Linked DNA regions of Saccharomyces cerevisiae S288C. The gene in region 2 interacts genetically with the main gene of each other region. Each region holds a gene or a part of one and is shown on either strand. Other genes may lie near its edges. The genes, in order: BNA3, YML054C-A, YKR041W and RTR2.

Region 1 (5,186 bases), on a different chromosome or scaffold from region 2:
ATTAATATCATCACCGCCCAGGGCGAATGTGTGACATAAAACCATGATTGCAGTACCGTTATGCACAAATTCACACCTTGTAAAAACGCTAAGATGTATAAACTCCTCATTCTCATAAGATGTCCAAAGGATCTTGATATAAAGACACCTAATTGGTAGAGCGTTCCATAGGTTACGTATATATCTCTGTATTTATGGAAGAAAAATGGCATCGATTTACTTCTTTCATCACCATTAATCGGAAATAATAGGGTCGGAGCTACCGCTTGGTTTATTAAATATTCGAATAAGTAGACGGTGGTCAATGGAACCATGTATGGAAAAACCAATCTTCGAAGTCTCTTGACCGTTTGCAAAATGTGCTGTCTTGTAGAATACAGGGATTGCGAAGCGTTGGTATGTGTAAAGGCGACAGGAAAGGGCACCAACTGGTCATCCTCTGCTTCGTCAATTTGTTGAAGACTTTGGTAAGTCAGGTTGGTATCATTGGATTCTAATTTAAAATAAAACAAAAATGCAAATGGAAGGAGACTAAATACTAGTAAAGTTAGCTTCACTGGAACTTTAAAGATTGAAGTTAAGAACATATAAGATGCTCCGCCAATGATTCCTGCACCACCAGTACCTGACGACCATCCATTCAAAGAAATTTGTTTGTAATAGTGTGTTAGCTGTAGGAATGTCACTTCTCCAAATCCGGAAGATATAGATGCGAAAGATATTCCTAAAAGACAAACAAACAAGTTTTTAAAAGAAACTAAGAACATTCCTAAGCAACTCATCGTGATCAAAGACCATATTCTATAGCTGTACTTGATTCTATCAATAAAGAATGGGGAACACAATTTAATGGCGAGTGATGGGAATATATCTGCTAGCAATACTAGAGATTTAGGCAAGGTAGGACCCACGATATCAACAGCTGCTGAAAGTATTACCACATAAAGTACATTATTGATCAAACCAAAGAGCCAAAAGTAGCAATATATCTGATGAGATTTGTCACTCATTTATATTTACTTGCGCTATATCTTCATATGTGTTTAAGTACTCTATAAATACACTGTTCAAAACATTACTAAATGTTCATATTGTCTATTTTTCATTAAGGGTTCACTTTTTCTTGTAGTACGCGAAGAAAATATGGAATTATTCTGGAATATTGATGTTTATATTTACCACTTCTGCATAAAAATATACATGCTTTATAAAATCTATATATTGAGAAAAAGGAGTATAAAAAAAAATTTATCTTATAAGTAGTCCTTGAGTAGTTTTAATCTCTCTACGGCATTTTCTAGATAAGCATCATCTTTACAAACTGCAAACCTTAACAAATTCTCAGCAGCCTTTTCGTGCTCTTTGATATAGAATTCAGTTGGTGGAATGGCAACCACACCTAATTCATTGATCAACCAGTGAGAAATGCGAAAATCTTTTCCCTTATTCAGGATCTCCTCTGGGTAGGGATAGTCCTCGGGAATTTTCACTTTAGAGAAATCAACGAGGACAAAATATGTACCCTCTGGAGCTGTATATGGTAGTCCCAATTCATCAAAGATCGATGTGAAAATTTTGAATTTGTTGATATATTCCTGTCTCATTTTTTCAAAATACCCAATTTTTAAAGCGTCGTTAATAGAGTTTGCACAAGCTTCCTGTAGAGGGGATGGAGATGCAAAACAAATTCTTGTATGTGCCTTAGCTGCATAACTTAACAACTCTGCGTTCAAGGATAAGACCCAACCAATTCTCCAACCAGTAGCAGCAAACGATTTACCGGCAGAACCGACCGTTAAGGTTAGTTGCCCAATTTCTGGAGAGAGTGTGGCAATTCTAGTGAAAGAATCAGTGAAGTAAAGGTGTTCATAGACTTCATCAGATATAATCACAACGTTGTGCTTGACGCAAATGTTACCTAAAGTGGTTAATTCCTCGCGCGTGAAAACTTTACCAATTGGGTTGTGAGGGGTATTGATAATGACAGCTTTTGTCTTGGATGTAATCGCTTTTTCGAACTGCTCAAAGTCAATGGTCCATTCTTCACCTCTAGTATTCCTTTGATCCAATTCCTTTGGAGGATTTATGGGGACGTAAACAACTTTACCACCGCAAAGTTCGATATTTGGAATATATTGGTCAAAGAAAGGTTCAAAAACAATAACCTCGTCGCCAGCGTTCAAAAGCCCCATCAAGCAAGAAAGTATACCTTCATTGGCACCTGTTGTTACGGTAACATTTTCCGCTTTCAATTCTGTGTTATAAATAGGAGAATACAACTTAATCAAGGAATTAATTAATGAAGGTCGACCTCTAGTTGGAGAATATTGATTGACCATTGGAATGTCTAGGGCTTTCTGAGCCTCCTTAATGGCGAATTGAGGAGGGGAATATGAAAAAAAGCCTTGGCCTAAATTAATAAGTTCACGGCCTTGGTTTTTGGAGTTATTGGCAGCTTTTGCAGCGGCTTCATTGGTTAGCGACCAAACATCTTTGGCAGTGTTAGAAGTGAAATATTTGTTGGCAACAACTTTCGGTCTCGAAGTAGACATTAGGTTCGTAAATTGACGAATGAATCGTTGTTTCATTGAGAGCAAGTAACAATGGATTCTATACGCAATTATAGTAAATTGAACACTTTATATATATCTCTATCGTACCTTCCCCTTTTAAACATGACTGAATTTTGGTATCTTGATTGTCATAATGACAACAAAAAAGCCACAGTTCTACGTCACGTGCTAGACACGACATGCTACTGAAGAAATTGTTATCAAATGAAAAGATACATTTATGTAATAACCACTACCAGGCACTTGCTAAAAAGAATCTACGTAAGAACTACATAAAGGTTAGCTTGTGCGCCAGAAAGTGATATCAAAGTTTTATGAACGCTGAACAATTTTGAGCCAGTAATTATCTTGGCATAGGAGACGATAAATGCCATCGTTCTTTTAAAGAGCTTATTAAGTTATTAACTCTCTTCGATTAGACATTCTCTTATCAAACGAGTTACGTTACATTTAGGAATAATGCGACAAAGATGGAGGTCTTGATTCCTAAATCCTACTCAAAACAATCTGCTCTACTGTCAAAATCCTTGCTCCGTAAATTGATTTCGTTGTCAGACGCTCACCGTACAAGAAGTTTGTGGGTATTTACATCGTAAGAAAAGTGCAACCAGATTCAATATTGAATTACCTGAGCGGTGTCTTCCTATATTAAAATGACGATTTTGTTTTTCTTTGTATTGTGAGGGTAGCAGATTCGTCTTCTGCACTTTTCATCTACTATTGCAAAGCCTAATACAAATACAGTTGTTGAATATAAAAATTCGAAATCAGCCTTCCATTCTCGAAAGTGAACAAGGAAACTCACTGGATAAAAATTCACACGAAAAGAAAAAACCGAAAAAAAGTAACTGTGTTGCTTGCAGAGGGTTTGATTACTCATAACCGAGAGACACGATCTGTAGCGGTGATATGAACGTATTCCTCACCTTCTTCTAACCCTTTGGAATAATAGTTTCCATCACTCTTTACAAAAGTAGCATTACTCACCAAATAAGGTCATAAAAAAGACTTTTATTTTGTATACATGTAAATTTTGGCAGCGGTTAGTGAGGTAAAAGAGATACGAATGAATATACGATACAATGATACAGCATACTGAAAAATCATCCTAACGATTTGGTGCACAGAAGGCTTTATATATTGACCAATTCATATATAATGTCCTCTTGCTACATGATATTATACCATTGCCCAGTTGTTTCTTAGCGTACATATATGATAGCAGACTATGCAAGTCGCTTACTCATTGAGTTTTAGTAGTAAATTCCTGAGAAACTTGTAACAATTCTTCATTGCATTCTTTAATTATCTTTGAATCTATTTCAAGCATTTTGCGTAGCTCATCCCATTCGTTTTGGCTCTTTTTATCGACTTTGATAGTTTCTGCCTCGATACGAGTTAGTTCACTCTTCAAGTACGATAAATCTTGTTGAAGGGATTTTTGAGAGTGAACAAAGCTGTTGAATTGCAATATTTGGTTTCGTATCTCTTTGAACCATTTCATCTCACCATGGCTTATTTTCTTTTCTTTAAATTTATTGGATTCGGCGATTTGAGATAGCTTCTTGCTCAATTTACTAAATCTCTCCATTAATTCTGACTGTCTGCTTAGTTGTGCATCCCATTTCTTATTTTGTGCTTCGAATTTTCTCCTTAAATCATCATCCTTTGAAATTATTTTGCATGTCGATTGTAGTTGGCGCGTCAATTCGAACTGTTGCTCATGAATTCTATTGTGGATAGAAACACCCAAAGTTTGAGCTTTAACAATTCTTTGCAAAAATTCTTTGGAAATATCCGTGAAAATTTCCAACTGATTTTCACTAGCTTCGTTTTTTAAAGGTATCTGGCGGTCTGCTGATGGGATAATTCGTTCACATGGACTAATACAGGCTTTTTGAAAATTATCGTTCAAAATAAGAATCTCATTTATGGGCTGTGTGAAACTCATTTTAAAACCATCTCCTACCGTGTCACTTTTTTCTGTACTGATACTTGTTTCAGCTGCGGTGCTTTGCGGTTTCATATCGCTTGAAATATTTTGAAAAGTCAATGTTTTATTCGACATCAAGGCTAAATTAGATTGGTCATTCCAGTTGATATACGCTAGGTTTGGAATTCTTTCTATGGTGGCAATATCCTCAAGTTTACTTTCAAATTTCAATCCTGCAAGTGGATTCAAATCCGATTCGTTGATACATTTACTCAATGTAGAAGCCCAGCTCATAAAATTTACTTGTTGTATAATATTATCGGAAATGACATAAAGTTTTCCCAACTGTTCAGGTAACGTTATTAGAGACTTAATTTCTCTTTGTAGTTTGACTCGTTCAATTAGAACCAAAGAATTATTATACACGTAATTGTCAACATCCCACGACATTGACATTTCCAAATCTTTGAAGAGTAAGATTAAAGACCCATCATCAAAACTGACACAAACAATTTCATTTTGCCCATTATCAATTAGTATGGTTGCAATATTTGTAGCAGTATAGTCATACAGCTCGCCGGGAAAGGGGTTTATCGTGAATGGTCCTTGAACCTTGGCTAAACGATATTCCTTTTGTATGTCGACTTTGCCAAATCTTGAATTCCAATTTTCATGCAGTT
Region 2 (3,950 bases):
GCACCTTGAGATTCTTCTACATTAGTTTTCTTCATCGCTTTTGGACCAGCCTTTGTATTGGAAAATTTCAGCTTCATATCTTTTTCTCTTTGACCTAAACTTGGAGCATCCACAGTGACAAATAATGCCTTTACACCCAGCTTTTCTACATTTTTAACCAAATCATCAGTGATCTTTCTATCAGAGTTAACATATAGTTGGTACCATTGAATTTGTTTATCAGAGGGTGCTGCTTCAATAATTTCCTCAGGGGAACATGAAGCCAAAGTAGATATCATTTGTGGGACTTTTGTCACACCTTGGCCACAACCTCTGGCGACATCTTTTTCACCTTCTAAGGGGTTTCCCAGTTTACACAAAGCTGTAGCAGACACGTAGAAGGGAACATCCACATGAGAACCCAACATGTCAGTTGAAATGTCTACTTTGCGTACATCTACAAGGATCTTTGGTTTGAAAAAAATCCTATGATAAGCATTATGGTTTTCTCTGTGAGTAACTTCGTCGTTAGCACCGGAGGAATAGTAGGCCCACGCTTGTTTAGTCAAAGTTTGAGAGGCCAAGTATTCAAAGTCGTAAAGGTTAATAATATTATCTAGAGGAGGTAGCAGCGATTTTAGTTGTTCTTTTCTAGCGATATCTTCCTTAGTTTCACCAGGAGCATAAGGAGGACAGACAAGTTCAGGAGGCATGGATCCTTGAAGGGGACCCAATTTTTTCTCGGGAGCTATATACTTATCGATGACATTAGGAGCATGTAGTGGTTCAAAAATAGCAGTGACATCTTTCCCGGCGTTAAACTTGATAACATCCTGCCCACCTGGATGATTTGGTAGGAATCGCGTTAAGTCGTATACGTAACCATTGATCACAACCCAACAATCATCGGGCTTGTTATGCTTGGCAACTTCAGCGGGCGAAATCTTTTGTTTATTCATATCCAGTTTCGGCTCGTTGTCTATTTGGCCATTATGCCAGTTTAGATACGCCACGGAACTAGTAGCGGCTAGAATTGCACCGACTCTCAAGGCAGTCCATGACTGTGTGCGTTTTCTTGAGTCTTGTTCGAACGACTTGGATTTTGGAACGGTAGAACCGTACGCGCGGATTGTGTTCAATCTAGTCTTAGACGCTCTGAGGATAGCAGCCTCACAGTTCTTCGAGATTTTTAGTAAAGGTTTGTATTTTAGCATTGACTACTTTTGTTTGCTTTCTTCTCTATGCGGGAACTGTATTAGCGACATAGGATGTAAGAATACGAAAAGATGCAAGAAGATTAGTCGACCAGGTACTTATATATTCACATACTCCAACTGAAAGTATTGGAGATCTAAGGTTCAGCAGTTGGTTCTTGGCGGTTCTTGTATGACATTATTATTGGTCGGGTCGTAGTTCTCTCGAACAGGAGGAGGGGGCAAGGAGATATCGGCAGGCTTTTTGCTAGCGCCTTGTTTGAAAAGCGTGGGGGTAGGTCTCCAAGCGATTATTGAGGAAGTAGTTTCAAGTATTACAGAGTCCAGGGCACAAGGGTCTTCATTATAGAGAGAGAATTTTCGTGAAAAAAATGGGCAGAATGCCACATGTTAGCAATGCAACGACTTGAGTGGGGGGTGATCCTTCCGATGTATGCGTGAAAGATCTCGTGTTGTGCAGGAAAGGGAATCATTTCGGAAAAAAAAGATGCAACAAGGAGGATGGCATGTGGATACTACGTTCTTGCGTAATATCCTTTTTGTTGCCTGTGTTAATACGTGAGCAACATTTTTTGTTAAAGTAGGCGATCAACTATTGCCCCCTGATATTGGTAGTAATTCTGCTAAAATATCGGCTGAGAAATGGTGATTCTCAAATAATTGCTGGGATTCCACTGGATATGGCCCCATTCTTAGATATATGGAACGTAGTAGAAGGCCTCTTAGAGGCTATGGGAGTCTCTCAAGAGAAAATCGACATTTTTACGTAATCATTCGTTCATTTCACTTTATACGTCATGATTCAATATCGTATTACTTTATCAAGTACCCGCGTTTAAACTTCATTAAATGACTGCGTCTCAATCTTTATGTCATCCTCCCTCCGCAAGTGACAATGTACTGGTAAAATAAAAACTAACTAACTAGATGATATTTTTAGAGTTTTATTCCAACGTTTCTCAATAGGCGATGGAGGAACAGAGTGAATATAAGAGGCTCTGTGGATTTATGGTTACCGGATTTATTTCGTAAATTCTTATTGAAGAATGGGTGAATTTTGAGATAATCGTTGGGATTCCATTTTTAATAAGGCAATAATATTAGGTATGTAGAATGTACTAGAAGTTCTCCTCGAGGATTTAGGAATCCATAAAAGGGAATCTGCAATTCTACACAATTCTATAAATATTATTATCATCATTTTATATGTTAATATTCATTGATCCTATTACATTATCAATCCTTGCGTTTCAGCTTCCACTAATTTAGATGACTATTTCTCATCATTTGCGTCATCTTCTAACACCGTATATGATAATATACTAGTAACGTAAATACTAGTTAGTAGATGATAGTTGATTTTTATTCCAACACTTATATTCTATATATCCATAACATTGTCTACATATAATCCGAGAGGTTACGACAACATTCATATAATAAGGGTAGTACTGACACTTTATTTTGAAGTAAATCAAAATAGTCACTCTCGGTAGCCAAGTTGGTTTAAGGCGCAAGACTGTAATTTACCACTACGAAATCTTGAGATCGGGCGTTCGACTCGCCCCCGGGAGATATTTTTTTTCCCTTTTTCTCCAGGCCTAGTGAGGTTTGAGTTTTGAACGTTTTATAGATAGATGTAAGGTAGCCAGAATGAGCACTTAGCCTTTAAAGTAAATTGAGTAGAGATACGTAAACAGTCGTGATAAATATGTAATACATTGTATTATTTTAAATAGGTTAAATTTTCTTTTTTTTTTTTCCATTTCATTTTCATTTTCATTTCCTGCAGTTATTTTTTTTCTTATTAATCTATATCCATGTAATCGTTAGCGATATTGTTGTTAGTCAACGCGGCCATGGCAGTACCGGGTGCTTGTGATGCAATTATACTTTGGGATGGTAGAAGATGATACTGGTGTTGTATAATACTAGCACTTCCAGTAGGACTCGTGCCTGTTATGTCGCGATTAGTGTTACCGAAATAACCATGAATCATGTACTCTTCTGTTTCAGAATAAAATTCAGATTCGTTCAGTAAGCGGCTGTTCATAGTGTGGTGCATACTAACCGGTTTCAGGGGACATATTTCGATATTTTTTTTATAATGAATATTATTGTAGGTTGCAGTATTATTGCTGTTATTATGATTATGGTTATTATTATTATTATTGTTGTTGTTGTTGTTGTTGATGATGATGTTGTTGTTGTTGTTATTAAGATTAGCACACCCGGAACCGACCGAAAACTTTGTACTTACAGAATCTCGTTTTGTTCTCTTCGATCTTTGGTAGAAAGTGTGTGTATCAAACTCGAAATGGTCATTTTTTCTTTTATTCATGATCGTATCATTATTGGCGTCGCTGTTGTATGTAGTGGCGGCATTGCTACCGGAATTGCAATTGTTTGTTTGGAACGCAGTATTGTGTTCATAGTATGAGAGCATTTCACGCAGCACACTTGAGTCTTAAATTAATGAATAAAAGCAGCCAACCCCAAGAAAAAAGAGCCCTTATCTGTTTCTGTCGCAGTCCTATTGTATTCTTCCTAACTATATAATTTTGTCAAAATGAAAAATATAAAAAAAATAATAAAGTCAGCTGAGTGGTAAAGAGAAAGCAAAGGGAGAGAAAAATCGGTTACCCAGATGGATTAGGTTACCCAGATGTCATACGTGTATCATGATTTCTAGAAATTATTACCCTGTTTGGTACCATGACAACGGATATGGCAATCTTGCATTAAGTAAAATGTCTC
Region 3 (2,780 bases), on a different chromosome or scaffold from region 2:
AAAAATGAATGAATGAATAAAAAATAAACGAAGTTTAAGGAATGAATACACTGGAAATTGTGTGGTCGTACTTTTTTTTTTTTCTTCTTAGTTACCGATGAAAGGAGCGTAAATTGCGGTTTAAAATCTTTGCTGAGCTTTGATCTGGGAGACGCCGAGGTCTCGAGAAGGAAACACATTAGATGGTATTCACTTATATACCCGAATCAGGAGAAACAAAGGCGAAAAAAAGGAAAAATTTTGTTTTGTCTGCTTTTTTCTTTTTCCGCACGACCCGGGCCGGGCCGTGCAGAAAGACCTACTTGCCCAAAAGCGGCAAAACGTCAACACCACCTCTACATTTCTTTTTATGGACTCATTAGGTTTCCCGATCTGGAAAAGAAAGGGCTTTTCCAGTGCCGCGGCCTCGAGATCCAGGCACCAGGAACTAGGCACGCTGTGTATTCTAACACATTGAAGGGCCTAGGCCCGCTGACGTGGGGTCTAGTTCCACTTTTTCATTACCTTTTCTCGGTCTTTTCTTGCTCCCACAGGCCGTTAATGGCCTGAAACAGTTTTGTGACTTTGGACTTATGATAACGATGTTTGTCCGGGTGCCACCGGATTCTATCGCGGCGAATCAAGTCTAGTCTGTTTGCATCCATCAAGGCACTGCTCATTGTGTAAAATTGTTCTACGCTTTTGTCATCAATCATATCTAAACTCACAGCCGCTAGGGTAGGTGTGCCTGGCAGTGGTAAGGTAGCCGGCTCGTCTTTGGTCATGCGCCAATACTGTCGAACGGCCCGCGCGTAGCGTTCTTCGGCTTCAACCTTAGAGCTGATACCTTTTGCCTGGTCAAAGGCGAAAACGTCTACCTCGCTTTCACTGCTGCTTTCGCTTTCATGACTTCGTTTCAAGCGGTCTCTTTCGCTCTCGGTTGTAACACACTTGTAGCCTGCTATGCTTTCACCGTACTCGAAAAGCGTAGCCTCATGACTAGTTGTACCAACGCCCTTTCTTTTCTTTTTTTTCTCTTGACACTTCGGCGTATTCATCGCCACTGGTACAAGCCGTATGGTGCTTTTTTGCTCATTTTCGTTTTGACGTTGCGATGGTTTCGCGGACCAATCGCATGGGTGGTGGTGGATGTTGTCTTTGCTAGTTGCAACGTAGTCTTCTTCTCTCCTGCGCTTTCTGACGAAAATTGGCCTTACGTATCTTTTTTCGGCGTCGTTGTCGTCATCGCTGTTCATATAATCGTCGTCACTCATATCGGCGCTTTTACTGCATGCTGTCTTTTGAAGAGAGTTTCATTGAAAAGTAGTGAAGAAAAAAAAAAAAAAAAAAAAAAAAAAAAGGAAAAAAGCTTACATACGGAAAGAGAAAAAAAAAAAAAGAAATTTTAAAATGGACGAGTCCGGAATCGAACCGGAGACCTCTCCCATGCTAAGGGAGCGCGCTACCGACTACGCCACACGCCCATAGTAGATATATTTTCTGATGTCCTAGGAATTGGATCATATATTTTTACAAGAATGTGATGTATCAAACAAGCTTGGAGTGGAGTATTCATGATATAATTACCGTTCTCAACCCGCTAAGTCCCAAATACTATCTTTGTGTTGGCTGTTCAATCTCCGGAATTTGTGCATTTGCAATCAATGACAGGGCTTATATCAAGATCTGTTGGAATAAAAATCCACTATCGTCTATCAACTAATAGTTATATTATCAATATATTATCATATACGGTGTTAAGATGATGACATAAGTTATGAGAAGCTGTCATCGAAGTTAGAGGAAGCTGAAGTGCAAGGATTGATAATGTAATAGGATAATGAAACATATAAAACGGAATGAGGAATAATCGTAATATTAGTATGTAGAAATATAGATTCCATTTTGAGGATTCCTATATCCTTGAGGAGAACTTCTAGTATATTCTGTATACCTAATATTATAGCCTTTATCAACAATGGAATCCCAACAATTATCTCAACATTCCCCCATTTCTCAAGATCATAAGAGGGGATTTCCTTATGAGGAAAAGAGCGGAGCCGCAGTGAAAGTTAATAACGATTTAACTTTTTTTGTCTCAATTACGTTTTAAATGTCATTTATAGTAGGAAAATGTTTAACAAGCAGTGAAACTGCAAAGTTTAGTTATCGGAGTGGCGGAAAAAAAAAGGAACTCCGAATCCCCAAAGTTCAATAAGGAAATGGGGAGTAAGGAGGCTGAATTAGTTTGAAACAAAACTGCTACCAGCGGATTTAATCGGAATCAATTAAAATATCAAACAAAATGCGGGGAAATCATATTGATTGATTGAAGCTCACACAGATTAGTTTTCATCTCGCTGTCTACTAAAAGATTTATTTTTACATTTCCTAGAAAAACATAAATAAAATAACAAAAAGTAAAAAAATAGAAATACCTTACTTTCTTTCATAGTATAATTTATCTTATTAGTGCACGGAAATATACAATTTTTGACTATAAACATTTCCCTTTTTTCTTTAGATTAATGACGAGAAAATAAATATATTTATTATGATTATCTAAAAAATAAAGTCTTTTTTTGTCGTTGTTCGATTCATTAACACCAGAAATTCCAGATTCTATACCATCTTGGCTTTGTGGCCATAATTGCCTTTTCTTCTGCAATTTCTTGTTTCAACAAATCTAAATCGACTTCTCTTCTACCCGTATCAATGTCCATCTTTTCTGCTGGGATGAAAAGCTTCCAATTCCTCTTATAGATCTTGTGTCCGATGTACATAACCATAACAAGTGGGAA
Region 4 (4,470 bases), on a different chromosome or scaffold from region 2:
ACCACCAAACTGGAAGTACGAATCCGCCACTGCCTCCGCTTTGGTCAACTAGAGTGTTTAAATCATTTATTTCATTATTTTATATGTATATTTTGTATAACTAAAATTGATTTTTTAAACATCTCTTTATAAACGATAAGTTGCATTTTATTTTATTTCACTATTGCTAATTTTTGTGTCCGTTTCTAACTTCAAAGCTGCTCCCAGCCTTTCCTAAGGTTTTCAGTTACCAAGTCTGCCTGAGAAAGCAACAGATTAACACTTTTGTAATGAACAAGTAGAAAATATGGCTCAAAATTTTGGAAAGATTCCTTCTCACAAGTCTTACGTATTGAGCTTATATCGGACCGTTCTCAGAAACATTCCAAAGTGTTGCCACTCATATGCGTTTCAATATGAAATAAAAAAAACACTTTCAATACAATTGTTCAAACACAAGCATGACAAGTCAAGTTGGAGTGTTTATACTTTACTCAATGAATTCAGTTTGTTGAACAATTGCCTTTTGGAAGGTAAATTACAAGAAATCAAAAACTTAATGAAGCCATTAAAAAAGATGAAAAAACAACTGAAAACAACGAAAATCCTCAACTCTTTGACTTCATTAGGGGATGTAAAGACCAACGACCCAGAAGAAGTAAGAAGATTTCATGTTCTAAGTGCTTACATTAAGCGAAAACAAGATTTGGGCCTTTTACCTGCATACATACCAAAAACGTATCAGCACAAACTCCTATTACCATTAGCATTGAACGAACATGCGTGCCTGAAACTATTTCATATTCAGCAAAAATTGAAAAATGGCCCACCTTCTGCTGGGCTGTCATATACAAAAGAAGGAAGGAATCAAATATGGTTTGTTCGGTCACCAATTAACAAGGGCAGACAACAATCGAAAAAGCTGGGAATATTGATACGAAAAGAAAGGAAGGATTCTCAGAAAAATATCGATAATCTCAATTTTTGCGAAATTAATGCTGCTTGGGCATTACATGAGGCCATTTGGGAGGAATATCTAGAGTCGAAAAAGATTATTAAAGTAAACTTACCGAAATACTTGGAATACGCTGCAAATATCCCAAAGTCTACTAAATGTAATCCTTCGAGTCAATATCAGAAAGTTAAAGAATGGGTAGATCCCGTGAGAGAAATAATGTTCGAATTACATTCCAAAAGTTTTCAAAGAGTGGAGTACTTTAACAAATATAAGGAAAAGCTTTTAAAGAACGGTGGCCAACTAGCATATTTTGATAAAAAGTCAAAAGAAATGTACGCCAAACGGTTGACACTATTCAGAAAAATGAGCAAAGAAACATTACCATATGTGACACTCTTTATAGAAGGGAGGGACTTGCCAAGTGTTTTGGCGAAATACGGTTTTTAAGTGCAAAAGTTGCGTGAATCAGAAAGTTTAATAGAAAATTTACTGGTTACTTCCATTTCTATGTAAATAGTCACTCGTATGACCGCGATAAGGATCCTGATGAAGACGATTTAATTATACTTCCTATTCTATACAGGTTTCCTCATCAGTAGTCAACTGTCCAAAGTACACATCCAATGGTAAAGGCTCATTCTTGTAGGTATCATCAAACTCAAGATCCTTGAAACTCGTTATCAGCGATTTGACGGTATCTATAGGTACCTCACTTCCAACTAATTCTTCTAAAAGGCTTACCGAGTACATATCATCAAACTCTAGATTAATGTAACTAGTTAAATGCACGCCTCGCCTTTCATGCAGAGGCGTTTGTGATAACTGTCTCATTAAATACAACGAACATTTACTGTGATAATTATTACAATACATTGAGTGGATAAAGAAGCCATCAGATGAATTTTCTGCCGCACTCTTATAGCATAGCGGGTACCCACATATTTTCTTTCCCCTTCTTGCATTAATAACATCCATATAAGACATCGGTGAAAGTAGCCGTGCTAAGTATTTTAATGTCTGCTCATTTTCGCAAAATGATTCTGTGAGCATTGAAACTATGGCAGATTCAATCATTCGGGCTTCCACTATAGATAATTGCTCATGTAATTGGTGTGATCCTAAAATTACTTTTTGAATGAACGTAGTGGTTATTATCTGCATTATGGCTTGCGTTGCTCCTGTCCTTCTAGTATAAAAATAAACCTATCACTTTTCTTAAATATGCTGCAATTTTTCCAGAATGCCTCCTTGCTGTTGATAAATGGCTTCCAATCTTCGCCAATACTAGAATGTGACCGGCTCGTCTCTTTTGTAAAGTCGATGTAATTTTCGTTGGACTTTTCAATGGCATTTGATATTGAAAAAAATGATTATCAATGCTGGAGGGCCCGGCTAAGACTTAACCCTGAAGCTTCTGTCTTTACAAAATATTATATGAATTTATCCCTGAATTTTACATACTATGAAATTTTAGTTTTGGCAAAGAATTTGACACGCTACTTACTCTTGCAACTTTTTCAGACGCATTAGCATCATCAACACGCAACTCATCTTTTGATTCTGTGGCTGTCCTTGCAATATATCGCACGGTAATCCAGGGAACTTTATCCTTTATATCCAGATCGTCAACTTCGATTTCAGAGTTAAAGTTTTCAATGAAATTTCTTTCATGAATATTGATGCTGGAATTATACACCAAAAACTCATTTAGTATGGATACCGTACTCCAATATGAAAACTTTCTCATACATGCTACTACGAGAGATATTATCAATTCACCATTCGTACAGTGCATATAACAGGGGTAATGCCCTTTATCAATCAGAAATTTAACGCATCGTACTACAACATCGTATTCAATAGGAACTGTTTTCTTTTTCCTTTTAATCTTGGGTTTGGTCTTGTCTGCCTTTCTTTCACTTTGACATTTTATATGAATTGTCTTAATGTTATTTTCTTCACAAAACTTTACCATTAGAGGATCAGTGCTCAAAGGTTCTGGTGTCAAAGATAATATGTATTTCAATCTAAGGGTTCTCAGGAATGGGAGATTGATTTCTCGTGGGTAAGATCCTCTATATAAATTTGGCTGTACAGTCGAAAATTGTAACGGAGTCACTAGTGTCATTTTGATACATATAGCTTATTCTAGATGTGTGAACTGGGTATTCATAGCAATTGTGAACCCATAGTTTATATTGGTACTCCTTTCCTTCTTAACAGAGTCTCTTTTTTTCTTTCGCATTTTTTTTGGCCTTACATCAAATAGCGGTGATTAATGATAAAAAGCACTTAGCAGAAGTCATGCAACAAAAAAAGAACACAACATAAGGGTACAGCTAGTGAGCTCCATTGCTTCGACGTTTTAGGATAAAATGGAATTCTTTTATGAAGAACAAGTAGCTTGTATCGAAGATGATAAAATAAGCAACTCTCATACCAAGGAAACTGGATCAACAGAAAACACTGAAAATAACGAACTTCAGAGCCGAGATGACAAAACAAATGAGGCCTTCCAAAAGTTAGAAGAGGAAGTCAATAAACGATATGAAAAGACTACAAGTGCATTCAAAAAGTTAGTAATCGAGAAAGATGACGGAATTGAAATTAACTTGCCAATTAGCAATGAAACTACAGAGACTGCACAAAAGTATTTGAAGAAACTAGACGAGAATATTCACAGCGTGGAAAGTCTAGCCCAGTCATATTGGAGCAAAATGAAAACTAAGAATTTTTGGTCTGGCTTCAGTAGCTTCGATAATGCTGCAGAAAATGACTCTAATGACAAGGATGAGAATTCGAAAGAAAATGAAATTGCTGTGGGTGGAAATAGAACAGAAGCCGAACTAAGGACATTATCTAAAGATAAATCGGTTTATTTAGACAATAAAATGGATTTGCAACTGGACCCGTTTGACGTGGATGAAAAAACTGAGGAGATATGTTCTATTTTACAGGGCGACAAAGATATCTCCAAATTAATGAACGACATCGTACCCCATAAAATCAGCTATAAAGATTTCTGGCACATCTATTTCTTACAAAGAAACAAAATTCTAGATAAAGAAAGTAAAAGGAAAGAAATATTGTCCAAAAAGGAAAAGGAAACGGAGGAAAAAGAAGTTGAGTGGGATGACGAAGAAGAAGAAGAAGATGATGACAAAGTAGAAGCAGTAGCTGACAACAAATCTAAAGGGGAGACGAAAGTTGCTGTGTCTCAAGAGGGATTGAAAGATGTTAGTGACCATGTTGGCCTCGCCAACAAGGATGAGAGCAAGGACGACGACGACGATGATGACTGGGAATGAGTGATTTTTTTCATATAAAAGATATATGTAATGCTATAAATATTTACATACTTTTCATGACGTATTATGGTAGAAAGGAAAATCATCAATCCAAGAGATGCACAGGAGGAAGACAAAATCTGGGCGTGATCTCATCTTTACACCTTCTAAAAAAAAGTTCGTTTGTTACCGTTAAAATAAATCATTTGTATTTAGGGTTTTTTACTTTGACCTTAGATGGAAATA

Evidence for each region.
Region 1: mutations in YML054C-A (region 2) and BNA3 together harm fitness more than expected from each alone (negative genetic interaction), as found in Saccharomyces cerevisiae (one large-scale study listed by BioGRID).
Region 3: mutations in YML054C-A (region 2) and YKR041W together harm fitness more than expected from each alone (negative genetic interaction), as found in Saccharomyces cerevisiae (one large-scale study listed by BioGRID).
Region 4: mutations in YML054C-A (region 2) and RTR2 together harm fitness more than expected from each alone (negative genetic interaction), as found in Saccharomyces cerevisiae (one large-scale study listed by BioGRID).

What each region holds. Positions count from the first base shown.
Region 1 is NC_001142.9:320,788-325,973, reverse strand, and holds BNA3 (kynurenine--oxoglutarate transaminase), read right to left. Parts: upstream 2,589-5,186; coding exon 1,254-2,588; downstream 1-1,253. Other genes in the region: amino acid transporter YHC3, read right to left, coding at 1-1,010; linker nucleoporin NUP82, read right to left, coding at 3,817-5,186. UniProt on the Saccharomyces cerevisiae protein: Catalyzes the irreversible transamination of the L-tryptophan metabolite L-kynurenine to form kynurenic acid (KA).
Region 2 is NC_001145.3:166,116-170,065, forward strand, and holds YML054C-A (uncharacterized protein), read right to left. Parts: upstream 1,667-3,950; coding exon 1,508-1,666; downstream 1-1,507. Other genes in the region: CYB2 (L-lactate dehydrogenase (cytochrome)), read right to left, coding at 1-1,193; YML053C (uncharacterized protein), read right to left, coding at 3,001-3,639.
Region 3 is NC_001143.9:516,671-519,450, reverse strand, and holds YKR041W (uncharacterized protein), read right to left. Parts: upstream 1,254-2,780; coding exon 501-1,253; downstream 1-500. Other genes in the region: amino acid permease GAP1, read right to left, coding at 2,580-2,780.
Region 4 is NC_001136.10:580,401-584,870, forward strand, and holds RTR2 (putative protein-serine/threonine phosphatase), read right to left. Parts: upstream 2,099-4,470; coding exon 1,508-2,098; downstream 1-1,507. Other genes in the region: 40S ribosomal protein uS15 RPS13, read left to right, coding at 1-52; RRG1 (Rrg1p), read left to right, coding at 287-1,384; OCA6 (protein-tyrosine-phosphatase), read right to left, coding at 2,391-3,065; DOS2 (Dos2p), read left to right, coding at 3,313-4,245. UniProt on the Saccharomyces cerevisiae protein: Probable RNA polymerase II subunit B1 C-terminal domain (CTD) phosphatase that regulates RNA polymerase II transcription. May have functional redundancy with RTR1.